Oryctolagus cuniculus: one gene and its partners. The protein of the gene in region 1 binds, or shares a complex with, the protein of each later gene. Links are inferred from orthologs where the notes say so. Each region holds a gene or a part of one and is shown in the gene's direction. Other genes may lie near its edges.

What was found.
Region 2: FLCN (region 1) and LAMTOR2 share a complex: the UniProt entries of both Homo sapiens proteins name them as parts of the lysosomal folliculin complex. The link is inferred for Oryctolagus cuniculus from reciprocal best matches to the Homo sapiens genes FLCN and LAMTOR2.
Region 3: FLCN (region 1) and LAMTOR5 share a complex: the UniProt entries of both Homo sapiens proteins name them as parts of the lysosomal folliculin complex. The link is inferred for Oryctolagus cuniculus from reciprocal best matches to the Homo sapiens genes FLCN and LAMTOR5.
Region 4: FLCN (region 1) and LAMTOR1 share a complex: the UniProt entries of both Homo sapiens proteins name them as parts of the lysosomal folliculin complex. The link is inferred for Oryctolagus cuniculus from reciprocal best matches to the Homo sapiens genes FLCN and LAMTOR1.
Region 5: FLCN (region 1) and FNIP1 share a complex: the UniProt entries of both Homo sapiens proteins name them as parts of the lysosomal folliculin complex. The link is inferred for Oryctolagus cuniculus from reciprocal best matches to the Homo sapiens genes FLCN and FNIP1.

What each region holds. Positions count from the first base shown.
Region 1 is NC_091448.1:66,243,063-66,248,845, reverse strand, and holds the start of FLCN (folliculin), read left to right. Parts: upstream 1-1,970; 5' UTR 1,971-2,106; exon of another isoform or gene 2,107-2,688; intron 2,689-4,330; 5' UTR 4,331-4,523; intron 4,524-5,577; 5' UTR 5,578-5,583; coding exon 5,584-5,783. UniProt on the Homo sapiens protein: Multi-functional protein, involved in both the cellular response to amino acid availability and in the regulation of glycolysis.
Region 2 is NC_091438.1:42,634,136-42,639,667, reverse strand, and holds LAMTOR2 (ragulator complex protein LAMTOR2), read left to right. Parts: upstream 1-1,962; 5' UTR 1,963-2,820; coding exon 2,821-2,888; intron 2,889-3,135; coding exon 3,136-3,298; intron 3,299-4,499; coding exon 4,500-4,589; intron 4,590-4,819; coding exon 4,820-4,876; 3' UTR 4,877-4,994; downstream 4,995-5,532. Other genes in the region: UBQLN4 (ubiquilin-4), read right to left, coding at 1,613-1,720. UniProt on the Homo sapiens protein: As part of the Ragulator complex it is involved in amino acid sensing and activation of mTORC1, a signaling complex promoting cell growth in response to growth factors, energy levels, and amino acids.
Region 3 is NC_091438.1:59,943,775-59,949,436, forward strand, and holds the start of LAMTOR5 (ragulator complex protein LAMTOR5), read left to right. Parts: upstream 1-2,008; 5' UTR 2,009-2,105; coding exon 2,106-2,140; exon of another isoform or gene 2,141-2,885; coding exon 2,886-2,947; exon of another isoform or gene 2,948-4,841; coding exon 4,842-4,959; exon of another isoform or gene 4,960-5,662. UniProt on the Homo sapiens protein: As part of the Ragulator complex it is involved in amino acid sensing and activation of mTORC1, a signaling complex promoting cell growth in response to growth factors, energy levels, and amino acids.
Region 4 is NC_091432.1:63,584,113-63,589,812, reverse strand, and holds the start of LAMTOR1 (ragulator complex protein LAMTOR1), read left to right. Parts: upstream 1-2,230; 5' UTR 2,231-2,439; coding exon 2,440-2,481; intron 2,482-5,700. UniProt on the Homo sapiens protein: Key component of the Ragulator complex, a multiprotein complex involved in amino acid sensing and activation of mTORC1, a signaling complex promoting cell growth in response to growth factors, energy levels, and amino acids.
Region 5 is NC_091437.1:20,301,123-20,306,156, reverse strand, and holds part of FNIP1 (folliculin-interacting protein 1), read left to right. Parts: intron 1-413; coding exon 414-1,833; intron 1,834-2,990; coding exon 2,991-3,159; intron 3,160-5,034. UniProt on the Homo sapiens protein: Binding partner of the GTPase-activating protein FLCN: involved in the cellular response to amino acid availability by regulating the non-canonical mTORC1 signaling cascade controlling the MiT/TFE factors TFEB and TFE3.

The sequences.
Region 1 (5,783 bases):
GCAGCACCGGCCCCAGCTGTTAAGTTCTTACAGATTCATGTAATTTGAGTAAGCATCTCTAAAGGGTAGGCAGCCATTGGGATACCGGCATCTGGCTCCTGACACAGCTGCTCCGCTTCCGAACCAGCTCCCTGCTAACGTGCCCGGGGAAGAAAAGCGGCAGAACTTGGCCCCAAATGCCTGGATCCCTGCCACCCATGGGGGAGACCTGGATGGAGTTCCAGGCTCCTGACTTCAGCCAGGCCCAGCCACGGCTCTCTGGGGAGTGAACCTGTAGATTCTCTCACTCTACCTTTGCCTTTCAAATACATGAACTAGATCGTGTGTGTGTTGGGGGGAAGATGGCAGCTAAAGCCTGGGGAGTTGGGAAAGATACTAATGGCCCAAATCAGGCTACTGTGACTGAATGGCTTCCCCTCATTGGAGCCTCATCAGCCGATGGCATGGAAATAGTGGAATCTGGACCGGGACTGAGAAAGGGAATTCCTGGAATTAAAGTTCCAAGATGGGGAAAAAATTGTCTTTAAGCTTAAAACGTCACCAATGAGTGTTCGTTTCAGTAACACCTTTTGGTAAGAGAAAAACCAGGAAAAAACATTCCCAGAGTTTGAGAGACCAAAAACCTGATGGAAACAAGACTGTGCAATTAGTGAATGTAGAGTAATTAAAAAGATTTGAGATTTATTCAAGTATCAAAGGCAGCGTTAGAACGAGGACAGACGGAATCTTCCCTCCGCTGGTTCACGACCCAAATAGCTTAGCGGCAACAGTTGGGGCTGGGTCAGGCACGAGCCAGGAGCTTCCTCCAGGGCTCCCACCTGGGCGCAGGGGCCCGGGCACCTGGGCCACCTGCTGCCGCCTTCCCGGGCATATTAGGGAGCCAGATCAGAAGTGGAGCAGCCGGTACCCCTATGGGACAGCCGCACTGCAGGCGGTGGCTTTACCCGCTAGACCCTAAAGAATGGAATTTTTAACCCTGAACTGTCACCTTTATTCCTTGGAACAGCAGAGAGAGACAGGGAGAGCTTCCATCCGCAGGTTCGCCATCTGGATGGTCGCAGCAGCTGGGGCTGGGCCAGGAGCCGCGCACCCTGCGTGGGTCTCCCACGTTGAGCAGGGACCCTCCCCGAGCGGAACCCGGGCAGCGCCCTAACCACGGCTCCAAACGCCCGCCCCTCCAGGGTCTCCTGCACTCTCCAAGCATCCAGCGAGCTCCTGCGTGGCTGACAGCCGAGGAAAAGCGGAATTCCTGGCACGGCTGCGCTTCGGCGGGCCCCGCTCTACCCTCGATTCGGCTCGCTAAGCGCAGCGGCGGGGCTGACCGGGATCAGGGGAACGTGGGTGGCGGCCGCCCCCGACCCCGGGACCTCCGCCCGGGCTCCGTCACCCCCTCAAGCCCGGAGGAGCACCGGAGGCGCCACGAGTTTTACAGACTACATTATGGAATAACTGATATTCGGTCAAAACAAACAATTTCCAAGTGTGGCTCCAACGGTTCCGCGCAGGGAACCGAGTCCCGCGCATGCGCACCGGCGCCCAGCCGCCCAAGCCGAGCACCGCCCCTGTTGCCTGACGGCCGCCGCACCTTCCACCCTCTTCGCGAGGATGGGGTTTATCAGCTATTTAGTGAAAACCGGCGGTGAAACTAAAAGGAGTTACAGCAGGTTTTTACGTTCTCGTCTTTATTTTTCTGTCTTTTGTGGGCAGAAAGTCTAGGATTGGCTCTATTTCCCCCTCAAATCTTTTTGTTTGGTTGGTTTTTACATTTTAAGCACCCCCACACGTTTGAAATGGTTTTGTCCAGCAGCGCTTGCGGGTACGGTTTAAACCATTCTGTACTTCTCTGAGAGGGGGAGCGGCGCAGCGGCGTGGAAGAGGAAGGTGTCGGGTTGGGAAATTCCCGCTGCCACTAGACTTCGGAGTTACGGGGGCGCGGGCCTTCGTTCCCAGACCCAAGGACCTGGTGGGGCCTCGCTCGCCTCGCGGTGCGGGGTGCGCTCGGGCAATCCGGGCGCCCCCGCGGCGGGCATGGGCGGATGGTACGGTCCGACCCAGTCACGCGCCTCTGGCTTGGCGCCGGGGCAGCCTGGACTGAGGGGACCGCGGGTGAGTGTGGCCGCCCGGGTCTGGGCGTCTCCCCCTCGGGGTCGGGCCCGCCGTGCAATGCGGCCGCGACCACCTGTCCCTTAGGGCCGGCTCCGGCCTCACCTTGACCTGTCCGGCGGGGACGGCGAGGGCCCGGCCGAGTGTGGGGCGGGCAGCGGTGGGCGAGTGGCTTGGGGCGTTGCGGAGAGCTGGCGATGTGGAGGGAGCGTGAGGCCACATCCTAGCTCCTCGCGGGAGGAGGAGGAGCCGGGGCCGTTGTTTGGTTCCGATTTGACGTTGCCCTGCCTCTCTCCCGGTGCCCGCTGCTCCAGCGCCGGCCCGGGTTTGCCCTGGAAGACCGCAGTTCTTCCTAGGGTTGGTGGACGTGGCCGAGAATGCTTGGTCCAGCGAGGTCAGCAGGGGGTGAGAAGCAGCGTGCCGTGGACACCCGGCGCCACCCCGGTGTCCAGCCAGGCTGGTGGGGGGGACCTTTGTCACTGCAGAGAAAGGCGGCAGCCGGTGGCACTGGCTTATCACTGTTGTCATCGCGTCCTTGAGTAACCCTGGCACGTGACCTTGTGTCTGCTGTCCGCGACAACCTAGGTGAGGGCAGCAGCAGTGGTGCCCGCGGGTTCCAGCCGGAAGGAAGCCCCGAGGGAGACCGGTTAGGGGCTGCTGCATGCTCACTGCGGGTCACCTGGCCCCTGCTGGATCTGCGGGGGCTCCTTCAACCCCCTGTGGGCCTCTGGGATCCTAGGGAGCTGGGGGGGGGGGGCGGTGGCAGGGGGGGAGAGTGTGGTGTGGCGGTCCCGGCCAGGCTGAGGAGTCGGGACACCTGCTTGTAGGGTGTAGAGCTCACTGGGCAGGGGAGGCTGGAGTGGAGCTAGAGGAAGGCAGTGGAAGAGAGCTTTATTTGAAAGTCGGAGTTACACAGAGAAGGAGAGAGAGACAGAGAGAGGTCTCCGCTGGTCATCCGCTGGTTCACTCCCCAAATGGCTGAAATGGCTGGAGCTGGGCTGATCCGAAGCCAGGAGCTTTTCTGGGTCTTCCACGTGGGTGCAGGGGCCCAAGCGCTTGGTTCATCTTCCACTGCTTTCCCAGGCCAGAGCAGAGAGCTGGATCGGAAGTGGAGCAGCCGGGACTCAAACCGGTGCTCTTTGAATTGGGTCTGGATTTTTTTTTTTTCCTGGGCCTGGAATACGTTGGGTGACAACGTCTCTGGTGCCCGCTCCGGCCTAGGCAGGCTGGAGCAGGTGTGCGTGGGGTGGGGCAGAGGGCTGCCTTGGTCTGGGTGTGTGGCTGGAAGGAGCCTTTTTTTTTTTTTCCTCCAAGGAAGGCGTGGCCCCCTTTCCAGGCTCTGGGGCAGGGCATCTGTGTCTGCTTTTGTTTTCCATCCTATTAGCCCTGCCTTGACCTCCTGGTTCCAGTTCTGGTTCTGGTCCCGGTCTGGTCCATGGTCACCTCCCATGTCTCCTCGTCCGCTGTGGGTCTCAAAGCCCTTGACGAATGTTCTTGACCTCACTGTCATGGAGCCCCTGGGTTCTTTCTTTAAACTCAGTCCATCGGCTCCTGTGCCACTGGACTGTCCCTGCGGTGGGCACCTCCATCTACTTCCTGTGCTGACGGCTGTCACCTCCCCGTGGGCAGCCCCTAAACCTGTTTATTTATCCGTCACGTGCTCTTTGGGTGCCCTGTGTGTCGGGAACCGCTGTAGACACCAGGGGACAACGTCTCTACCTGCTGGAAATTTTATTTTTATTTTTTAAGATTTGAAAGGCAGAGATATGGGGGGGAGAGAGAGAGAGATCAATCAATCTTCCATCCAATGGTTCGCTCCCCAAATGGCTGCAACAGCTGGGGCTGGGCCAGGCTGAAGCCAGGGGCCAGGAGCTTCTTCTGGGTCTCCCACGTGGGTGCAGGAGCCCAAGCACTTGGACCATTCCCAGGAGCGTTAGCAGGGAGCTGCATTGGAAGTGGAGCAGCCTGGACTCGAAGTGGCACCGATACGGGATGCTGGCACTGCCGGCAGACGCTTAACCTCTGTGCCACAGCGCCGGCCCCAGGAAATCTGGTCTTTGTAAAGGGGAAGTACACACAACCTGTTAGGAGACAGAAATGAGGCAGGGCGGGGGCAGGGCAGCTGTCCCGGGTGGGCTGGCTGGGGAGGCCTCGGACCGGGTACAGGGCAGGGGCAGGGCCGCGGGTGCCTGGGACCTTCTCCCCAGCCCTGCCCTCTCATCTGCAGTCGGTGTGGCCACGGCCTGCTCCAGGCGTCCCGGCTGAGCCTCGGGCCGTCTGCACTTGCGTCACCTGCCTCTGGGAACACCTCGGGCCAGGGGCCGGAGCCTCCGCTCTCCACGCTCACTCCCGCCCGCTTCTCTTCCGTTTTGCCTCTGCCATTGCCAGCCCCTGCTGCGTCCGGGTCCGCGGACGGCCAGGTGGGTTGCCATTGGTGGGCAGGCACGGGTGTGGGCTCTGTTTCTCTGACCTTGACCTCTGCTAGGGCACCAGTGACCTCCCTGTTACTTTGCAGGGGATCCCTGCCCACTGTTTTTTTTTTTTTTTTTCTGTCCAAATTGTGCTAAAATGCACATAAAGTGGACTATTGTCAGCACGCAGCTGTGTGTTGCTGAGTGATGGAACCGCCAGCACAGGCTGGCTCCAGTGCTGTCCACATGCCGGGCTTAAACATGAACTGCCCAACCCCCTGGCACCATTGCCCCTTCCGTCCCTGTGGATCCCACCACTCGGAGCCCGAGCCCCACCCCCACCCCCAACTTGGATGTGTGAATTTCAAAGTTCTTTTTGCACCAAAGGAAACTTTATCCTTCCCTTCCAGAGGTAAAGTCCCCCGTACAGTCTCGTGTCAATTGGGCATTGCTTGTCCTTTTGTGACGGGCTCCTGTCACCGGGCTTGCCATGCTGTGAGCCAGCCTGCACGGCCTCTTCCGCTGTCGTCCAGGTCTCCTGTGTCATGTTGGAGCCTCACTCTCCGAGGCCCCAGGGGTCTGCATCCTGGGGCTTCAAGACCCCTCCTCTGGGGGCCTCTGCCAGCCCCACTGGCCCCTCGGAGCACTGGACTGGGCAGGTTCCCGTGCCCCTCCCCGGGGAGGGCTGCTTCCTCGTCCAGACTGGGAGGCGCTCAGCAGGTGCGTGCTGGGCAGGGGTCCACTTGAAGTCCACTTTATGGACCTCTCAGTCGCCCTGGAGTTTGCGGGTCCCTGCAAGGGTAGCTGTCCTTCTCCTGTGCTGTCTGCCCCGGGGCCCTGTCTCAGTTCTGCCCGGAGGGCCTTTGGTGCGGCCATTCACCCCCACGCCCCCTCTCGTGGCTGCCTCTGGGCCCGATGGGATCTGGCTTCCGTTGTCTGTGCTGCCCCTGACGTGGCGCTGGGTGCAAAGCGGGTGCTGCCCCAGTGGTGAAGCGGGAAGTCCTAGAGGCGCCGGGGAGGTTCCGTGGGGTGCCTTCTGCTCACGGTGTCCCCTGCTCCCCAGGGCACCATGAACGCCATTGTCGCCCTGTGTCACTTCTGCGAGCTGCACGGCCCCCGCACACTCTTCTGCACGGAGGTGCTGCACGCCCCGCTTCCCCAGGGCGCCGGGAGCGGGGACAGCCCCGGCCAGGGCGAGCAGGCCGAGGAGGAGGAAGGCGGCATCCAGATGAGCGGCCGCGGCCGCGCCCACAGCCCCGCGGAGGGGGC
Region 2 (5,532 bases), on another chromosome or scaffold:
AAGCTGGGAGCTGGAAACTCAATCCAGGTCTCCCAGGTGGGTGGCAGGGACCCAGCCACCTGAGTTAGCACCTGCTGCTTTCCAGGGTGCACATGAGAAGGAAGTTGGAATTGGCAATGGAGCCAGGCCAGGCACTCCAAAATGGACTGTGGACATCCCAACAGGTGTCTTACCTGCTTTAAGTTTTGTTTACTTATTTGAGAGAGAGAGACAAACAGAGCAAACAGAGCTCCCAGCCACAGGTTCACCCCCCAAGTGCTTGCAATAGCAGGGGCTGGGCTAGGCTGAAGCCAGGAGCCAGAAGCTCAACCCAGGTCTCCCATGTGAGAGGTAAGGACTTGAGCTGCCGCCTGCTGCCTCCCAGGGAGCTTCTTTCTTAACCAGGAAGATAAGCCAGTCAGAGGCTCCTCTCTCAGCGCCATCCCAGTCTCCCACCCGAGGAAGCCCTCACAGCTATCTGTACCCCAGACTGAGCAACTGCCCCATCAACTCCTTCTACGGCCTGGCGCTTCTTCAGCCTTCTCCTCTCCCCGCTCCAGCGTCCCGCCTCTCCTGACTTCCAGCTCTCTCAACAACAGCAACAACAAGGTCCAGCCACTGAGCACGAACCAGGCACGAGTTAATGGTCCGGTATTTTCATTATTAACTCCGTGTTCAAGATCAGAAAACGGAAGAGCAGGGAGCTTAGGTAACATCCTGGGCAGATTGGAACTCAGGTCTTGACCAGACACTCTTGCCTCTCAATTCCAGCTGTTTTCAAAGTCAGCTTTGCAGGGACCCCTCTTCTGGAATTCAGTCATTTTATACTGCTGGGAGAGTTCAATTCTCAGTCCCTGCAAAGCCCAACCCAACCCAACGCACACTCCGAGTAGAAAAGGCGCACTTGCTAATAAGCAAAGGGAGCTTCCAAATCCCTCTCTTCCAACCAGATGGCCCATCCTGAAGCCCCGCCTATGTGAAATTCTGGAGCAACTACAGGGGGGTGGCGAACGCAGGCAAGAGTCCCTCATTCAACAAAACCTTATGGAGCACCTACTGCACACTGTGCAAATCTCAGAAGAGCTGAAAACCAAGTGTGACCACCTCGGGCTTAAAGAGCAGGAAGGATCTAGGGCAGAGAACATCCTCCACCCCACCCCGCGCCCTGCGTTCGGCGGACTCTGGGCGTTCTCCGGGCCACACAGGAGACGCGGGCGCTCTCCGCCTGCCCCCTACCCGCTCTACGGGTCCAGCACCTAGCCGGGGCCGCCACTGCGCCTCGGCGCCTCGAACCCCGGCCAGTTCCAGGGGCGCACACTCCCCTCAGCCCCAGGGTGCTTCCCGGGGGCCGGCGCAAGGTGTCCCCTTACCCACTCTTCCACCACGCCCCCAGCCCCGGCTCCAGTGCAAAGCCCGCTCCCCCCAGCACGCGCCACACTCCCCCAGACCCGCCCGCGCAGGGCGCCCCATATCCGCCTCTCCTGCCCACGCGAGTCCCCGCCGGCCCCCGCCCTCCTCCCCGGGGCCGTCCCGGACGCCAGGCAGTCACGGAGGCCCCCCGCCCCGTTTCTTCGTAGCCCCCTCCTCCGCACTCCCTCTCCGCTCCCCCCCCGCCCGCCGCTAGCCCTACTACCTCCTTGACCGAGGCTCGATCGCAGATCACAATTTCCTCCTTGTCCTTGGGGGTCTTGACGGTGACCCGAATGGGGGGCCTCGTCTCGGCCCCGCTCGGCTCCGCCATGCCGCCGCCGCCACCCGGCCGCCCGCCAGCCCGCCCGGCTCCTCCTCCTCCTCCTCCTCCCCGCCCGCCGGCCGGCCCGGCTCGGCTCGGCGCCTCCAACACTCCCCTCTCCCCTCCCCTCGCCGCGGCTCCGCCGCCCCCTCCGGACCCGCCGCAGCCACAGCGCCCCGGGCGGACTGGGGGGGCCACTGCAGCGGGGTCCGCCCAGGGCCCGGCCTGGGGTCCGGCCGCCGGGACGCGGCCTGGGTGGCGAGGGCCTCTGGGCGCGGAGGGCGTGTCCTTCACGGCGGGGGCCTGCGAGAGACCCCCGCCCGGCCCGAGCCTCGCCGCCGTGCCCTGCGACCCCGGGCCGCCCCCTCCCCTCCGCGGTTACTCCTGCTCCCGGACAAAGGACTTTCTGCGTGGCCGCTTTTTCTGTGATAACTTGGTCTTCCCTGGGCGGTGCAAGTTCCTTTCCAGGCCTGGGGCCTCGCTCCACCGGGAGTCTGAATTTTCTCCCCGCGGGACGTCCACTTAAAGCCTCCACTCAGGGAGTGACCCTGTTGCTCCCGATGCCCACGGCCTGAATGGCCTGTTCTGTACGGTGCGAGAACTGGGTGTTGCCGGCGTCACCGTTCCAGCCTCGGTTTCAAGAAAACAGAATCTCTTGCCTCATCCCACAGAATAGTGCCTAACGTAGAAAACCGCTCTGAGAAGTAACCCAGGCTGTGCCCGACAAATACGAGGATTTATTACTACTATTATCGCTTCGTGAGTAGCCAAGCGGCCATGATGACCTCTCTCCGCCAAGGGGTTAAACGTCCTCCCAACCCTGCCACATTGCCCTTCCACTCCCGCTCTTTTCCCCCACGACCGCGTGGTCTAGCTGAGGAGGCGAACTACAGTTCCCAGTGTGCCTTGCGAGACCACAGGAACTACGATTCCCAGTCCCTCCGCGGCTGAGCGGGGTGGGGCCAGAGCAGCTGTCACGGGGTCGGAAAACTACAACTCCCAGGGCGTTCCCGAGCGGGTCGCTGCACTGCCGGAAGCCGCAGGCCGCGGCTAAGCGGGACGCCGCTCGGAGGATCTGGGATTTAAAGGCTGGGTGACGAGCCGCTGGCATGCTGCGTCCCAAGGCGTTGACCCAGGTGCTAAGCCAAGCCAACACCGGAGGCGTCCAGAGCACCCTGTGAGTGCGGGCCGTGGACCCGTGCGGCGGCAGCGGAGTGGGGCGGGGAAGGGAGGCGGCCGAGGGGACCCGCAGCTGACCGAGAGCGCGCCTCTGGAAAGGGAAGCCAGCGTGCTGGGGGCTCGGGACGCCTTCCGGGACACGCTCAGCTCAGCCCCTTGCCTCGTAGGAGCGCCAGTGATACGGGCGTCGGGGCGGGGACCCAGGCGTTTGAGCATGTCGACATCCCATCCTTGTCTCTCGCCAGGCTGCTGAATAACGAGGGATCGCTGCTGGCCTACTCGGGTTATGGAGACACGGACGCCCGGGTCACCGCGGCCATCGCGAGTAACATCTGGGCAGCTTATGACCGAAACGGGAACCAGGCGTTTAACGAAGACAACCTTAAATTCATCCTCATGGACTGCATGGTACGGAGAGAGGGGAGCCAGACTTCCTCCATCCACCAAGGGGATTCCCAGGGGGCGAACTGGCCCCCATCCTGGATGATTGTTGGGGCAGGGACAGAATCTCCGAGAGATTGCTAAGAGTTGGTCCTGCAGCAGCGTTTGCGATAGGCAGGCCCGGGAGCACCCAGCGGTGGTGAGGAAGGAGCCCCGGACCTCAGGTCTGACTTGGGTTCTGGTCTCTGCCATGCACTTAGCAGTGGTGAAACCTTGGGTAAGTCACTTCCCTCATCTCCAAGCAGGAGGTGATGAGCCATCCTCCCCCACCTCGGGACTGTTGACAATCAAATGAAAGAATGGGTCTACACCGTAGAGAGCTGTTCAGACGCAGAGCGTGTCCACCCAGCGCCACCGACTTGCAGGGCCATGGCGGAGTCTCCAGACCCGGACAGGAGAAGTGGCCATTACACTGTGACTTTCTTGGGAACAGGGACTGCTTCGCTCCTCTCTGAATCTCTTAGGTGACGACCATTTAGGTCCTGCAGGACTTTTAGGACTAGAGGGGGCATACAGACAGGACAGACAAAAACCCCATTCCTGGTGGAGCTTACAACCTTACATGTGTTTTAAAATAAGCAGACTATCTGGTCTGGACCGTATGAAATGCAATGGAGAAAAACAAAGCAGGGAAGTAAGAGGGTATGGAGGGCGTGTGTTAGGGCCAGTGTCACTGAAAAGGCGATGTTTGATCAAAGGACAGAGGGTGGTGGGGGTCCAGTCATGTGGCCCTCTGACAGAGCAGCAAGTACCAAGGTCCTGTGACAGAGTGGGGCCTGGACTAGGATCAGCAAGCTTGGCCTGAGTCGCGGGAGGGTAGCAGGAGATAGGACCAGAAAGACAGGGGCTGTGGTGCCTGGTTCCCAGCACACAGCGGACACCTAGTAAAGGTTTGCAGAACCAAAATGAACAGATTGCAAGGGTGCGTGCACCAGGAAGGGTCTCCACTGTAACTTGGCTGCCTGCCCCCCCTGACCTCACCACTGCCATTTTGGCTCAGCAGGTGACTCCTATGGGTGCCTAGCTGGAGCTGGTGCTATTTAAAGCAGTAACTTTCAAATGTGACTGCAACCCAGACGAGACATACATTTTAAGTCAGGAACCCTCGGGGAAGGCGGGTCCTGTGAGTGTCAAACAGAACATCCCATCCCATCATATCCCCTACCAGGAGGGCCGTGTAGCCATCACCCGCGTGGCCAACCTTCTGCTGTGTATGTATGCCAAGGAGACCGTGGGCTTCGGCATGCTCAAGGCCAAGGTGTGTACATGTCCATCCTGCCGCAGCTGTGGGCCCGCTGTTGTGCTCCGTCACTGTGTCCACTCCCACCCACAGCACCGCACCGCTCTCAAGTCCTTCCGTCAGCTCAATTAGTGTCTGATGTGGGCAGGAGGGAGGTGGGAGTGGTTGAGGGGCGGCCTTGGGAGTAGAACTGGGATCCGTCAAGTGGCAGGCATCTGCGACACTGACTTCTTCCCCCCCTCTTGCAGGCCCAGGCCTTGGTGCAGTACCTGGAGGAGCCCCTGACCCAAGTAGCTGCATCATAATGGACATTGGTGGAAGCTGGGGTCAGAATGGGGTCAGCATCATAGAGACCATGGGGGGAGGGCGGGACTGTGGTTTTTGATTTGTTGTTGTTGTTGTTCAAGAATGAAATTCAGCTCCTGTCTTGTGTCTTGGCTTTTTTTTTTTTTTTGGATGGGAAGAATCATAGGAGGCAGGAAGGAGCAGGGGCCACGTACAGGGTGTCCTGTGTTCTGCAAGAATGGGCGTCCACCTGCACCTTCCCTGTGACCTCCCGCTACCAAATGGTTCTTGGCAGAGGTGCCTCAGCTCTCCTGGCCTCTCCAGTGCTGTGACCTCACCTACCCTGGTGAGGTCACAGCAGATTCTTAGCTACCTGGTTGGCAACCTTGTTGGGAGTGGGCTCCTGGCACAGGCTGGACAAGAGCATATCAGACCCTGAGAGGTCAGTGGCCATTCTGGGCTTCGAGGGGCTTGCCTTTTCTTCTTTCTGGGGTTGGAAGGATGGCTCCTAACCTACCCTTCGCTGGTTCACTCTCTAAGTGGCCACAACAGCTGAGGCTGGGTCAGGCTGAATCCAGGAGCTTCATCCGGGTCACCCATGTGAGTACAGGGGCTGAAGTACTTGGGCCATCGTCTGCTGCTTTCCCAGGCACATTAGCAGGAAACTGGATCAGAA
Region 3 (5,662 bases), on another chromosome or scaffold:
GAAAACTTTATGTTGAAAGGATATTTTGGATATACTGTCTGGGTATGTAAAATATTTTCTTAAAAGTTAATTCACATGTTTTTAGACTTCTCTGATGTGGCTACCAGATCATTTCACATAAGGAGTGCCCTGTCATCTTATTTCTGTTTGCAGGCTGCCTAAGAGGTTAAACACATACACACACACACGCACACACCAAAAACCCAAGGCTGCACCTCGCAGCCCGGTAAAACGTTACACACCGAGTAACCACAAGGGGGCGGTCCTGCAACGCATGACCAGCAGGAAGCAGGCTGGCTCCCCAGCCAGCCGTCACAACTTGGTTTCCAGTAGTTAGTAAGTACTTCACTTACATGTCTGATTGCAATCTTGTGAGGTCAGCTTTTAAATCCTTTTTCCTAAAAATGTCTATGGTCCATATTGTGTTGTCCTTTACCAGAAATAACTCTTCTAGGGCAGGAATCCAAAACCCTTGAAAAGCAACGCACAAAGTGGGATTTGAAGGAAGCTGGAAGCTCCCCTCTGACCTCTGGGAATGAAGAGGGACTTTGCCCTCCAGGCTGAAAGCGCCCTGAGCTGGCCATAGTCAGCAGGGAGCCCGGGTAACAGCTGCAGGTGAGAGGGCTCAAGCACGCTTCCGGTAAGGCGAGGCTTAGCAGAACTGGCAGGACACACAGGTGCGCTCCTGTTTTCACCAAAGTGCTACCATCTGAGTGCACGCTGGCACTACCTCTGTGCCAGCAATTCACGTCCATCAAGTCTTAAAAACAACCATATCCTTTGGCCCGGTAATTCCACTTCTAGTAGCTTACCAGGAAAATTTTAAACTGCACAGAGATTTAGCCAAGAGGATATTCACCCAGCAAGCTAGTATCCAAACTGTACATTAACATGGAGTTGGTCAAGTCAGTTAAAGCACATACGGCTGAGACATGGAATATTTTGCAATTAATAAAAACTAAGTATTTATTTTTAAATATTTTATTTATTTGAAAGAGCTGCAGAGAGAGGTAGAGACAGGGAGAGAGGTCTTCCATCCGCTGGTTCACTCCCCAGATGACTGCAATGGCGGAGCTGTGCCGATCCAAAGTCAGCAGCTTCCTCCGGGTCTCTCTCGCCAGTGCAGGGGCCCAAGGACTTGGGCCATCTTCTACTGCTTTCCCAGGCCATAGCAGAGAGCTGGATCGGAAGTGGAGCAGCTGGGGCTCAAACCGGCGCCCATATAGGATGCTGGTGCTTCAGGCCAAGCCTTTAACCCACTGTGCCACAGCACCGGCCTCAAAACTAAGTATTTATTAACACGAACAGACATTTATGCTAAAACCTGTGCAAAGGCTCAGCAAAGGAATCATGTCCAATATTTTTTTTTTTTGCTTAGAAAAGAACAAAAGCCATTTAGAGCATACCTCTGCAAATACATCCACCTGAAAGGGACTGCAGTCACTTCTGGCAGTGGAAGTGTGGGAAGTGTGGCTGGTTTCCTTCCTTTATTTTTAATCTTGGCTTTGACAGCTTGTAAAGCTGTTTTCAGGGAGTGTCACCCCAGTCCTCCTTATGCGTTAGGTATCACACGGCACCTTCTGGCCCCAAACCTTCCTGAGCCCTGATCACAGGAAAAGCAGTGTCTTAGTTAAAATTCCAACACGTTTTGCCAGCGCCCCGCTCCGGGTTTTACCCGCGGGCCACCTCGTCCTTTGTCCCGGGTGTACGCCCTTCAAGGAGCCCGTGGCTCCTCTGGCCACTTGCTCCATCCCGCCGGGCCCGCAGGGTTACTGTCAAACACCATCCTGTCCTTGGGTCTCGGAGTCGTTTGCACTGAGACCAACGGACAAGAACCATTGGGCCAGACTGCAGGCCAGGAACTGAGGCGCTGGGGCCTGGCTGCAGACTCTCACCCCGCGCAGCCCGAACCCTCAGGGAGACGGGAGCACGGCTCGGCGCCGTCTTCCGGGAGAGAACTCGGACGTGGCGCCGCGGCGAATTTTGTCCCATCGGCGGCGCCGTCGCGGGCAGCGGAAGGCTCGCGTCACGTGACGGAGGCCCGCAGTGAAGCGGAACGCGACGGCTCCGGGGGCCCGGGCGGGGGTGCGCTGCCGGCCGGCGGGATGGAGGCGACCTTGGAGCAGCACCTGGAGGACACGTGAGCAGTGCGGGCCTCTCCGGCCAGTTCTGAGGTCGCAGCGCGGGTTACGTGCGGGACAGCGGGCGAGACCCGCGAGCGCCGGAGGGCGGCTCGGGGACGCCGTGCCACCCCAGAAGGCTGGCCGAGGGGACGGGGCCGGTGGCCCGAAGTTAATATCCCGCTGGGGCCCGCAGCCTTCCTCTCGGGGCGCCGTCCGCAGGATTAGGTCGTTCAGGAGGGTGTCGCAGGTGTGCCGTCGGCCGCACCGGGTACACACACACACAGATCGTGTGTGCGATCTGTCATTTGGTGTTTAAGGAAATACCTGTTCCTTAAATGTGTTAACGTCTGTGTAAACTCAAAGCTGCAAAAGTCTAAGGTGTACGTGCAGACACCACCCTCCCAGCCACTCCCTCGTCATCCCACTTCCCTTCCGGGAGGCAACGCCTCTTAGTTTGTCCAGTTGTCTTACCTGAGCTGTTACGTAAAGCGTGCGGTTAGAACGGCGAAAAACCCCGCATCCGAACTGTTGCGTGCGCCTAGGCTTCCCAAACCCAGCAGATACTCATTCTTCTCTGCAGCTGGCTTCAATTACTACTTTAATTTTGCTCGGGGTTGGGGAGTGTGGTAGGAAAGAGGTCGAGAAACCCATTTAAAGCACTTAGGCAATGCCTGATAGCATGGCAGGCCCACGGGCGTCATAACCGTTTGCATCCACTTTCTCAAGCCCTCTGCCTCACCTCTCCTGTGTTTCTGGAATTAGGATGAAGAACCCGTCCATTGTTGGAGTCCTGTGCACAGACTCACAAGGCCTCAATCTGGGCTGTAAGTATCTCCTGCCAACCCTTTGCTGGACTGCGCCACACCTGGTGTTGACCAAATAGTATTTGAGTCATTTCAAACTGGGCCTAGACAGGACTCGCCCATGAGAGCTGTGAGCATGTGCTGAGCCATATGCGAGGCTCCACCTGCCTTGCTGCACTTTCCACAGTATCCCTGCATGATGGGTGGGTGCAGTGTTCTAGTCCAAGTACACCAACAGTGAAAATAGGAGATTCTGAGTTTGGCACAGCTGAGTTCAAACACTCCCCCCACCCCCACCCCGTTCTTTCATTTGCTAGTTGTGTGAACTTGGGCCTAAATGAACCTTTCAGGAACTTTTTTTTTTTTTTAATATTTATTTATTTATTTGAAAGAATTAGAGAGAGGGAGAGACAGAGAGATCTTGCATCCTCTGAGTCATTCCCCAGATGGCTATAATGTCCAGGGCTGGGCCAGGCCAAAGCCAGAATCATCCAGGTCTCCCACAAGAGTGGCAGGGACCCAAACACTTGGGCGATCTACTGCTTTCCCCAGACCTTTAGCAGGGAGCTGCATCAGAAATGGAGCAGAAGGACACAAACCGCTGCCAATATGGGATGCCGGCATCAGAGATGTGTCATGGCACCGGCCTCCATGGCATAGCTTCACTGGGCTCTTGTTTACTGAGACTAGTGCTTACAGAATTGCGTGCTCTTCCTTGAGTTCCAGGTACCATTCTAATGGTAACTCACGCACTCCTCCTAACAACCAACGTGAGGCACAGAGGTAAAGTAGCTTGCCTAGGGTCATAGGGCGGTAATTGGCTGAGCTAGAAATGGTGTCAGGGTCCAAAGCCTCTTCAATCACAATGCCGTGAGATTATATAATATGCTTAAGACAGTGCACACCCAGATGGAACATGCTCAGAGAATGACAGCAATCACAGATGAGGAAATGATAGATAAGGAAAATGATAGATAACTAGAGCATTTAGTTAATGTCAGAACTAGTAAACCCAGGACACGTCTTAGTGCAAGAATTTTTAAAGCTCTGAATTTTTGCTGCAAGGGTAACAAAGCGGTAATCTATAACTCAGTTGCTTGGAGAAAAAAGGCAAATGTTTTGACGCTTTTGCCAGACTCACTAATGGAAATACTGAAATGAAGTGTGAAACTCTATTAGAGTTGCTTCAAGAAAGCTTCAAGGTGCAAAAGATGGCGCCGTGCTGGTGAGTTGCTGTCAGGAAATCCCTCTGCCCACCAGCCACAGGCACGGTTCTGCTTGGCCTGCCTTCATACACACATACAGGACACAGTAAACTCAGCAGTTACATTTTGTGCTTGGGACCCAAGGTTCCGTTATCATATACAAGCTAAAGCAGTCAGGAGTAGAAGACAATCGTGTGGGCATTTGAAAACAGCCAAGTAGCTATGCTAGCAGAAATAACTGCTCACAGAATGTTCACACGTGCCATCGAGGAGATCTGAGACTGCGTGACTCCTCAGGAGAGGAAATCCGCTTTCCCATGAGGAATGAATTAGCTTCAGCAAGCCTCTTGCGCGTATTGACTGCTTTTTGTCAATCTCACCTCTAAGCTTTTTGTTTTCGCAAGGTTCCTATCCAGTGAATTTATGGTTTTCAGAGTGACCTGAATTACAGCGTCCTGGTATGTTGAAGCTGTTTACAGATGGTGATAGGTGTGTCAGTTATAGCTTACTGATTTATTGATTTTTGTTGCCCGGCTTTCTCACTGATGTAACCACTGAGCGTCAGGGAACAGTCACTTCATGTAAGCACCAAACTTAAAGGACCAGGACCTGAACCTCCTCTTTGTGAATCATTCAGTGAGATACTGTTGCTCCAAACTTACTTGTGGCTCACCAGGTGCCCTGATACCATCGTTCTCTCTCTCTCTCAGGCCGTGGGACGCTGTCAGATGAGCATGCTGGAGTGATCTCTGTTCTGGCGCAGCAAGCAGCAAAGCTAACCTCTGACCCCACCGACATTCCTGTGGTGTGCCTAGAATCAGATAATGGGTGAGTAGAGGCCTCAGATCCTTTCCTTTCTGTTCAGAAAAACCCCTGGACAACTTGACTGAGGCCTGCTCTGTGTTCCTCAGTGACTCCATACTCAAAGTATGTCGGAGCAGGTTCTTGACCCTTTGGGCCATGGGAGCAGACAAGAATCTTGGAAGCCAATGTGCTGGCAGACCACAGTGACACTTAAATGAAGAGTAAACTGTTATTAGTCTCCCAGGAAAACAGAAGTAATTAAGTACCACAAAAGAAAACTAATCAAAGCATCAAGCCTTTTTTCTTTTTTTTTTTTTTTTTTAAGATTTATTTATTTGAAAGAGCTACACAAAGAGGGAAAGAAAGAATCCTCCATGTGCTGGTTCACTCTTCAGGTGGCCACAATGGCCAGGGCTGGGGCAGGCCAGAGCCAGGAGCCTCATCCAGGTCTCCCACATGGGTGGCAGAGGCCGAGATTCCATCTGCTGGTTCACTCCCCAGATGGCCAGAATGGTTGGAGCTGGGCTGATCTGAAGCCAGGAGCCAGAGCTTCTTCCAGGTCTCCCACGTGGGTGCAGGGGCCCAAGCAGTTGGGCCATCTTCCACTGCTTTCTCAGGTGCATTAGCAGGGAGCTGGATCAGAAGTGGAGCAGCTGGAACTCCAACCAGCGACCATATGGGATTCCAGTGCCCCAGGTGGCGGCTTTACCCGCTTTGCCACAGTGCC
Region 4 (5,700 bases), on another chromosome or scaffold:
AGTGCTGTCTCCCCTCCCTTTTTCCCCCTCTTCGCCTCGGCTCTCTTAGAAGCCCCTCCACAGGCCCGTACACACACTCGGCACACTTTGCCCCCACTCAGTCCCCTTCTGCAGGACCCCTTTTGGGGGAGTGGTTGCCCTCTCCCATGCCCCCTTCCTCCACACGTGGCCTCTCAGCAGACCTCCTTGGTGGAGGTGGGAACTAAATATGAAAGTAAAAGAACATATCTGAGCGGGTGTGAATGGGCAAGGGACACGCTGGGTTCAACTGATGTGCTTGGAACCCACACTCAAGGGCCCTGCTTACCTGGGCTGAAGGCTCCTGCTTAGGGAAGACCAGAGCACAGGACAGGAGGGGGAGTCCTCAGGGAGGGAGAGCCCGGAGGCAGAAAGCTGGGCCTGCTTTCAATTATTGATGCTGAGGCTGCTGCTGTCACCCGAAACCTGCAGCTTCAGTTACCAGTCTCGGGGACAAGCTGAAGCTTCTCCTGCCCTTCAGGATTCTTCCAAAAATTTAACTTCAAGGTCTTGATTTGAGAGGTAATACAAGCTGCTAGGTCTAGTATCCTCTCTTGCATCTCCATGGATCGGGATGTGGGGCACGGGATGAACCAAGGTGGTGGGAGATTGATTTACTCAAAAGCCAGTTTTCTGTAAGCAAGCGTTGGCTTTGGTCACAGAGAAGAGTCAGAACCTCTTGCCATCTTCCAGAAACTGCCAGGTTTAGTAGAAGACACCAACCCAGGAACAGAGAACATAGTTTGATCATTAGGTTGGATGCTGCATGAAACCAGGGACTTTGGGCTATTAGGTGAACTGCTGCATATTCAGGACCGTGTGTGGCACATAGCACTCAGTAAATTTTTGTTGATTTGATAATCAACACTGGATAAGGGTTAAGCACAGAGAACTGGAGATGAGTAGCAATGGGTCAGAGAAAGCAATCAAGGGGATATTGTTTGTGTTGAGACTTAGGAGTAGGCAGACCTGGAGGGAGGACTGTGTGCTGGGCTGCATGTGTGAAGTCCAGGTGGTCAATCAGGAAACCAAGCACTGAGGTTAGAGAAACGCCTCCCTCCCTCATTCCTCCCCTCCCACTCAGGGGCGAGGAACGGAAAGGAGCAGGTATCAGGCTATTCATGATACTGAATGGCACACTTGGACCTGGGTTAGGGGTGGAGAACACAGGGGAAGGGTTTTTTTTTTTTTTGTTATTATTATTAAAGATTTTTTCATTTCATTTGAAAGGCAGAGTTAGACCGATGTTCCATCCCCCAGTTCACTACCCAAATGGCTGCAACAGCCAGAGCTGAGCCTATCCAAAGCCAGGAGCCAGGAGCTTCTGGGTCTGCAACGTGGGTGCAGGGGGCCCAAGGACTAGGGCCATCTTCTACTAATTTCGCAGGCTATAGCAGAGAGCTTTCTATTTTTTTTTCTAGTTAATGATTTATTTGAAAGGCAGAGTAAGAGAGAGAGGCGAGATGGAGAGACAGCTTCCACTCACTGGTTCACTCCCCAAATGTCCACAAAGGCCTGGGATTTCCCAGGCTGAAGCCAGGAGCTTTTTTCCAGGTCTCCTACTTGGGTGCAGGGGCCCAAGGACTTGGGCCATTCTCACTGCTTTTCCAGGCACATTAGCAGGGAGGTGGATCAGAAGTGGAGCAGCCAAGACTCTAACCAGTGCCCATATGGGATTCCGGCCCCTTGGCTGCATTGGTCCAGGGGGAAAGTTTTAAGAAAAGAACTGGGGGAGGGGGGAGCTGGTCTCTGTTAAGTTATGATGGCAGCTGCAAAAAGATCAGAAGGTAAGATTAGGTGGCCTCTTTCTCTCTACAAGGCTAACCTCTACTTGGCTTCACCTAGTTAAGATATAAAGTCCCTTCTTTAAGTTGCAGATCTCCAGCACAATTTGATAACTGTCAGGCACCACACCCCAGTTGAGAGCCGGTAAGGGACCTATGTACGTGTTCCCAGACTGCATTCGCCCTGGATCCCACTCGCTCCTCTCATGGCATTTAGAAAAGTAAGTATATCATGACATTTGCTGTAGGAACTCATTCACTGGCCCAGAAAGGTGGCTTAGCGGCCATGTAACCACAAGGCACAATTCTCATAAGGACCATGACAACCAAAGTCAGAGGTTTCGAGCTTAAAGACTCGGCAAATAATTAAGTCATGTGATACGCCCCTCCCTTTCTTCGCATCACGTGCCTCGCGCCCCATCGCGCAGGATGCCCCTTCCCATTGGCTGACGATGGTCACGCGGGCAGGGGCGGGGCCGGAAGCCAGGCTTCGGCAGCGGCAGTGAGACGGGGTAGGCGTGGGGAGGGCTGCCGGTGGTTGCCTGCGGGAGGCAGCTACGGGTCATGTGACCGGAAGGGCTCCTGACGGACGCCGACCCTCCTCGGCTCGGCCTGAGCGCCCGGCCCGACCCCGGCCATGGGGTGCTGCTACAGCAGCGAAAACGAAGACTCGGACCAGGTGCGGCCGCGGCAGGCGGGGCTCGGGAAAGAGGGCTGAGGTCCTGGGGCACGGGGCCCAGAAAGAAATCTGCCGAGGAGTGGGAACCGGACTGCAGGGCTCACTGAGTACGGAGGCCTGGAGGGGACAGATTACGGAGGGGACGCCGAGCCGGACTCCTACCCTTCTTAAAGCCCTAGGTCTCCTACACAGTTCCCGCCTGGGGGGTGTGCATGCAGCTGTCTGTCCAGCTCTCTCCCACCCATTCCGTGTCCCTCTACTTCAGATCTTTACACTTTCACGCGTCTTCAACCCAGGTCCCTGGGAAGCACTCTCTCCCGAGCTTCCTGTGCCTTCTCTGTGCTAGTGTTAGCGGAGTGTGAATCCACTGTAGCGGTGGGTAGGCTGAGGCTCCGACTTAAGCTGTCCCGAGATGAGTCGGGAATTTGTGTATGCTCTTAGTCCCCGGGTTTAGAGAAGGGAGGTCACGCCTGGTCTGGGGTCCGAGAAGGCCGCTGGAAGTTGAGGACGTCGGGTCTTGCAGGAAATTGGGCAGCAAGGGCTCAGGTGTACCTTTTTCTGAAAAGAAATGGATGGGAGAGCTCCATTGTTTTGAGCTTGGCCTGCCTCGGTGCAGTCCCTGCCTGGGGACTGAGGGTTCCCCCAGCTAGAGGAGTGCCTCCCCTGGCCTTTTGACTCGTTCTGATCCCTTTGGAGAAAGGATTAGGCTGGGGAGAACTGACCTGTACAGCGTAAACTTCTCCATCTTCCCTTGGGTTCATCCGCACTTCTCTCCCCAGTTAAGCCCTGCCCGGCCACTTTGAGCAGGCGCGGATCTTTCCCAGGATGAAGTCCCAAGCTGCTAGCCAGCCGCTCCCCGTTTTGACTGCCTCTGTGTCTGGGTTCTGCATTTCAGCGCTGGCTCATAGCAGCAGAGACAGTGGAAAGCTTGCATCAGGTAGCTCAGCGTTTAGTGAAGAGATGGGCTAGCACCAGAACTTGGGAAATAGTTTTTTGCCTTTTGGTCCACCCTCCTCCCAGTGTGGGTGTTTTGGATTTAGGGCTTAAGCTCAGGGAAGGCTGCTGTGTGTCTGGGAGGCATGGGTGGCTTGGCTAGTGGGCTTCAGTTCTCCAAGCAACTCGTGTGTATGCTCCCGTTACTAGGCTGTGTGTTAAGCATGCCTCATGCCCAACACCTCTCACTTCACCTCAACCTGTTACAGTGTCCCTGCACAATGCAAGACCCATACATAACCTAGACTGTTGCAGAGAGTGAGTCACTGAGGGTTACTGCCCTGTGAGAAACGGCACAAGTTTACCTAGAAGGGAGACCTAGGTTTTCTGCCTTTTTCTTTCTTTCCTTTTTTTTTTTTTTTTTTTAAGATTTCTTTATTTATTTGAAAGGCAGAGTTATAGAGAAGCAGAAAGAGGTCTCCATCCTCTCGTTCCCTCCCCAAATGGCCACAGTGGCCAGAGCTGGACCAATCTGAAGCCATTAGCCAGTTGCAGGTACAAGGGCCCAAAGACTTGGGCAGTCTTCTGCTTTCTCCCAGGGCCACAGCAGAGAGCTGGACAGGAAGTGGAGCAGCCAGGATTAGAACCAGCACCTATATGGGAGGCTGGCACTTCAGGCGGCGGCTTTACCTGCTGTGCCACAGCACCGGCCCCTGCTGCTTTCTTAGTCTTTTATCTTTTCCCTTGATGGAGTCTCATTTCTGTGGGTTTCTTTTTTCTAAGTAATAGGAATTTATATCACATTCATTATTTGTGAAATACAATAAGGCTGCTTTATTTTTATTTATTTATTTTTGACAGAGTGGACAGTGAGAGAGAGACAGAGAGAAAGGTCTTCCTTTGCCATTGGTTCAGCCTCCAATGGCCACTGCGGCCGGCGCACCGCACTGATCCGATGGCAGGAGCCAGGTACTTATCCTGGTCTCCCATGGGGGGTAGGGCCCAAGCACTTGGGCCATCCTCCACTGCCTTCCCTGGCCACAGCAGAGAGTTGGCCTGGAAGAGGGGCAACCGGGACAGAATGCGGCGCCCCGACCGGGACTAGAACCCGGTGTGCCAGCGCCGCAAGGCGGAGGATTAGCCTGTTGAGCCGCGGCGCTGGCCTATTTTTTTTAAATACTTATTTATTGGAGAAGGAGAGGTTGTGTGCTGGCATCAGTTGGTTCACTCCCCAAATGCCCACAAAGACCAAGTCTGGATCAGCTGAAGCCAAGAGCCTGGAACTCCATCTGCATCTCCAAATGGGTGGCAGGGGCTAAGGACTTGGGCCATCTTCCATAGCTTTCCCAAGCGACCACAGGGAGCTGGATCAGAAGTGGAGCAGCTGGGGCTTGAACCAGGGCCCTTATGAGATGACAGTAGCTTAACCTGCTGCACCACGCTGGCCCCTCATTTCTGTATGGAGCTGTCAGGGAACGTGTATGATCCGTGTTGGGTGATTTGAGGCCTCATGTGACAAAGGCCATGATCATTGCTGCCTCAAAGTCCTCTTCCAGCAACTCTCTCCCAGTTCCATCTCTGCTCCTTATTATTTTATGAAGAAATATACAGGATATTACAATTCTCAAAGGGCTGGACAGTTACCTCATTTGGCTCTTGCCAAATGTATGTCATAAGATCTGGGTTATGGGCCGGCGCCGCGGCTCACTAGGCTAATCCTCCGCCTAGCGGCGCCGGCACACCGGGTTCTAGTCCCGGTCGGGGCGCCGGATTCTGTCCCGGTTGCCCCTCTTCCAGGCCAGCCCTCTGCTGTGGCCAGGGAGTGCAGTGGAGGATGGCCCAGGTGCTTGGGCCCTGCACCCCATGGGAGACCAGGAAAAGCACCTGGCTCCTGGCTCCTGCCATCGGATCAGCGCGGTGCGCCGGCCGCAGCGCGCCGGCCGCGGCGGCCATTGGAGGGTGAACCAACGGCAAAGGAAGACCTTTCTCTCTGTCTCTCTCTCTCACTGTCCACTCTGCCTGTCAAAAAATAAAAAATAAATAAATAAAAATAAAAATAAAAGGAAAAAAAAAAGATCTGGGTTATGTCTGTTTAAGGGTTAGGAAGGAGTTCAGAGAGGTTGGGTGATTTAGCCACGCTGAGAAGTGCTGTGGCCAAGATGTTTTGATGCCAAACCAGTGGGCTTTATTTTATCTCTTGGCCAAGCTGTCTTTTCCAGCAATGCTTACAGGCCAGGTAGCCAGCCATGGGCAGGCCACATGCATGTCTTTGCCAGGGTAGACAGT
Region 5 (5,034 bases), on another chromosome or scaffold:
CAGGATAAGTACCTGGCTCCTGCCATCGGATCAGCGCGGTGCGCGGGCCACAGCGTGCCGGCCGCGGCGGCCATTGGAGGGTGAACCAGCGGCAAAAAAGGAAGACCTTTCTCTCTGTCTCTCTCACTGTCCACTCTGCCTGTCAAAAAAAAAAAAAAAAAAAAAAAAAAGAACTCACTCTTGGTTTTAGAACCACAACAGCTATTTAAGGGGGAAGCTAGAAAAGCTTTCTCTTCATCATTCTCTCTAGTTAAGACCATTCATCTGCTCCTACTGTGCTGTATAGAGTAAAGAACTAAAAACCTCTACTGCCTCTTATACATTAAGAGTATGTTTCTCATAATTAAAAAATAGCATTTTTGACTATGTGAGGAGAGAGACGATGTGCCTATTAACTAATTTTTCCATTGCAGGAGACTTGTATGGCGCTATTGGCTCTCCTGTGCGGTTAGCGAGGACTGTGGTAGTTGGCAAACGGCAAGACATGGTCCAGAGGCTGCTTTATTTTCTTACATACTTTATAAGATGCTCTGAACTTCAAGAAACCCATCTTTTAGAAAATGGAGAAGATGAAGCCATTGTTATGCCAGGCACAGTAATCACTACCACCCTAGAAAAAGGTGAAATAGAAGAATCAGAGTATGTGCTTATCACAATGCATAGAAACAAAAGTAGTTTGCTCTTTAAAGAGTCAGAAGAAACAAGAACTCCTAACTGTGGCTGTAAGTATTGCACTCGTCCACTTGTTGGGCAAAACGCAGAGAGTGCTTCACGACAGGACGGAGAAGATATCCAGAACAGCTCTACAGAGCTACTGGGAATTTCAGATGAATGCCGAATGGTTTGTCCTCCTGACTGCCAAGAAGAAAATGTTGTTGATGTTAAACAGTGCAGAGATAAATTAAGAACTTGCCTTGACACCAAGTTAGAAACAGTTGTTTGCACAGGATCTGCTCCAGTAGACAAATGTGCATTGTCAGAAGCAGGCTTAGAGCCAACAGAGGAAACATGGCACAGTGAGGAACTGCTGAATTCAGATCATCACACAGATAAAGCATTGAGATCTACAGGAGTGGTCGTGGAAAAAAAACCTCCAGATAAGATTGTACCTGCTGTATTTTCTTGTGAGGCAGCCCAGACAAAGGTTACTTTTCTGATTGGGGATTCTATGTCACCTGATTCGGACACTGAACTCCGGAGTCAGGCAGTGGTGGATCAAATTACCAGGCATCACACCAAACCACTGAAGGAAGAAAGAGGGGCAATTGATCAACATAAAGAAACTAAACAAACAACTAAGGACCAATCTGGAGAGTCTAATAGACAGAACTTGATTTCTGGAGAGCCCTGTGAACTCCCCTGTTGGAGTCATTCAGACTCTGAAAACATGAGCTTATTTGATGAATATTTTAATGATGATTCAATTGAAACCAGGACTATTGATGATGTTCTAGATAAAACAAATGCAGACAGTAAAGAACACTGCTGTGTGTTGGAGTTTTCAAAAATGTTGTGTACAAAAACCAGCAAACAAAGCAATGAATTTTGTAAATGTGTAGAGGCAGTTCACCAGGATTCATGTAAAACCTGCTTTCCTCAGCAGGACCAAAGAAATACACTCTCCATTCTTGTCCCCCATGGGGATAAAGAGAGTTCAGAGAAAAAAATTGCTGTAGGAACTGAATGGGACATTCCAAGAAATGAAAGTTCAGACAGTGCCCTTGGTGATAGTGAAAGCGAAGATGCAGGTCATGATATGACTAGACCAGTCAGTAGTTACTATGCAGGAGAGCAAGAAGACTGGGCAGAAGAGGATGAGATACCATTTCCTGGGTAAGTAGGATGTTTTCCTCTTATAGTAGGTCTTATTTAAAAAGTCTGTAACATTCTTCTGTCTAGCTGGTCTCTGAAGGGTAGTAGTAGCTAATGTAGAAGAGATCATTGTCCTAGACAAATTGTCTTTTAGCATCTTGTAGTTTTACTTCATAAATGCTAAGCTTCACAAGCTCCCTAGGAAAGCTTTGTGAAAGCATCAGAAAGTTAAAGGACCTGGTTGATAAGTAGTTGTAATTACATACTGCTTAAGAGTTTTCAAGCCATTTTAAAATGAAGTATGACCCCCCAGAATGTGCAGAGTGAGTCTGGAAGTTATGGTGAAGTTCTCACTGAGAAGGTAGAAAAGGATCTGGGCAAGAACTAAGAGGAAAACAGGCAGTGTATACTCTAGATCACGTAGAAGGAGAGCATCAGGGATTGAGAAATGTTAGACACCAGCTTTGGAATTTAAGATATTTAGCTAGTTTATTTTGGATGTTCATTTTCTCAATATGATTATATTAAGAAGTGTTACAAATACAAGGAACAAGTCTCCTGAAATCTATTATGAATAGTAAGATTTATGCTCATATCATTACAAAGTTATGTATCAGGCCTTTTTTTTTTTTTTTTTTTTTTTTTTTTTTGACAGGCAGAGTGGACAGTGAGAGAGAGAGAGACAGAGAGAAAGGTCTTCTTTTTGCCGTTGGTTCACCCTCCAATGGCCGCCGCGGCCGGCGTGCTGCGGCCGGCGCACTGCACTGATCCGATGGCAGGAGCCAGGAGCCAGGTGCTTTTCCTGGTCTCCCATAGGGTGCAGGGCCCAAGCACCTGGGCCATCCTCCACTGCACTCCCTGGCCACTGCAGAGAGCTGGCCTGGAAGAGGGGCAACCGGGACAGAATCCGGCGCCCTGACTGGGACTAGAACCCGGTGTGCCGGCGCCGCTAGGCGGAGGATTAGCCTAGTGAGCTGCGGCGCCGGCCACAGGTCTTTTGATAAGGAGTATTTTGTAGTCTGAGCACTTAGACAAGTTTTTATTTAAGGGTGATGTTCAGAGTGTATTTTGTAGAAAATAATGTGCTAGAAATATGAACTGGTGGTGTATGCACATTTTTACTGGGAAATGTGTTTATTGTTAATTGGATATGCCTTATTTGGGAATCTTTCTTCCAGGTCAAAATTAATTGAAGTGAGTTCTGTTCAGCCCAACATTGCCAACTTTGGGAGGTCCCTGCTGGCTGGCTACTGCTCATCTTATGTGCCTGACTTTGTTCTTCAAGGAATTGGGAGTGATGAGAGGCTCCGGCAGTGTCTAATGTCAGACTTGTCTCATGCTGTGCAGGTAATAGCCATCTCTGTTCTTGAATTGATTTAGAATAAACTGATAACCAGTAGAACCCAGAGCTGCCATGTGTTCTTGGTCACACTTCACTGTTACACAGTCATTCTTTGAGTGTGTCACTTCAAGTATAGCACTTGCATGTTTGTACTGAAGAACCAAAGTGACTCCATTTTTAAACAATAAAAAAAAGCAGCCTCCATTTCCCATTGCAGACCGGGGTCCTCGTAAAAGCAGGCATTCAGGCATTCCAGAGATATCAAAGCTTACCAGGGACAGCTAGCTCGGTAGACCAAGGACAGCACAGTAGAGATTGCTGAACAAAGTAACTCCCTGTGCCCAGAGCTTCCGTGCTGTAAGCCCTGCTGTAACTCCCTGTGCCCAGAGCTTCCGTGCTGTATGTAACTCTTTTCCTGCTGATATAGCCCTTTTTTCCTTTAAAAACTCTCCCTAACAAAGACCGGGGCCTCACTCCTTCCTCTGCTGTGCCGGTTGGTTGGATGGGGTCCCTGTCACGGCTTGTACTCCCCAATAAACCTTGCTTTTGCAGTTAGGTGTGATCGACTCTCTGGGGGTCTCTGCGGGGATCTAACGATCTGGGCACAACCTACTTTTTGGTGCCCAACAGTACCTACACTGCGAAGGCAAGTAAGAGTTCCAGGAATGTGCCCAAATGGAAGATCTGAAATATAGCAAGTTCTTTATGTACTCATAGATGTTCATTGGTAGATTATTTATAACATTACAAAGTTGTGGTGCAGGCACTGTGGCACAGCGGATTAAAGCCCCAGCCTGCAGCAACAGCATCCCATATGGGCGCTGGTTCGAGTCCCGGCTGCTCCTATTCTGATTCAGCTCTCTGCTGTGGCCTGGGAAAGCAGTAGAAGATGGCCCAACTCCTTGGGCCTCTGAGCCCACATGGGAAACCCAGGAGAAGCTCTTGGCTCCTGGCCTCAGATGAGCTCAGCTCATCTATTCGATATAGCTCTGGCCTTTACGGTCATTTGGGGAGTGAACCAGCAGAATGGAAGACTTCTCTGTCTGCTGCCTCTCTCTCTCTGTAACTCTGTATTAGAATAAATAAAATAATTCTTTAAAAAAATGTGACTGTTTAAATGATAATGGGATTCTTAATTTCCCTTTGAAGTTATTTTTACTTACATAATAGAAGTACAGTTAAATTTTATATATTGTTCTTATGTCTTGTGACCTTGCTAAACTCTTTATTAGTTCTATTCCTTTTTTGTAGAGATCCCTTCAGTTTATTACACATAGGCTCATGTCATCAGTGAGCAGTTTTACACCTTCCTTTCTCACCTAGATGCTTTTATTTATGTTTTCCCCCTGACCCAAACTGCATTAGTATAGTGTTGCATGGATGTAGTGACAGTAGATGTTGTTTTCTTATTCCTGATCTTAGGTGAAAATACTGAAGTTTTTTGTTATTAAGTATGATATTATTTTTTATTTTTTTTAACAGGCAGAGTGGACAGTGAGAGAGAGAGACAGAGAGAAAGGTCTTCCTTTTGCCGTTGGTTCACCCTCCAATGGCCGCCGTGGCGGGCGCTCTGTGGCCGGCGCACCGCGCTGATCCGATGGCAGGAGCCAGGAGCCAGGTGCTTCTCCTGGTCTCCCATGGGGTGCAGGGCCCAAGCACCTGGGCCATCCTCCACTGCACTCCCTGGCCACAGCAGAGAGCTGGCCTGGAAGAGGGGCAACCGGGACAGAATCCGGCGCCCCGACCGGGACTAGAACCTGGTGTGCCGGCGCCGCTAGGCGGAGGATTAGCCTAGTGAGTCGCGGCGCCGGCCCTATTAAGTATGATATTAGAAGCAGTGTTCTAATAGATGCCTTTTATGAGGTAGAGAAGTTCCTTTG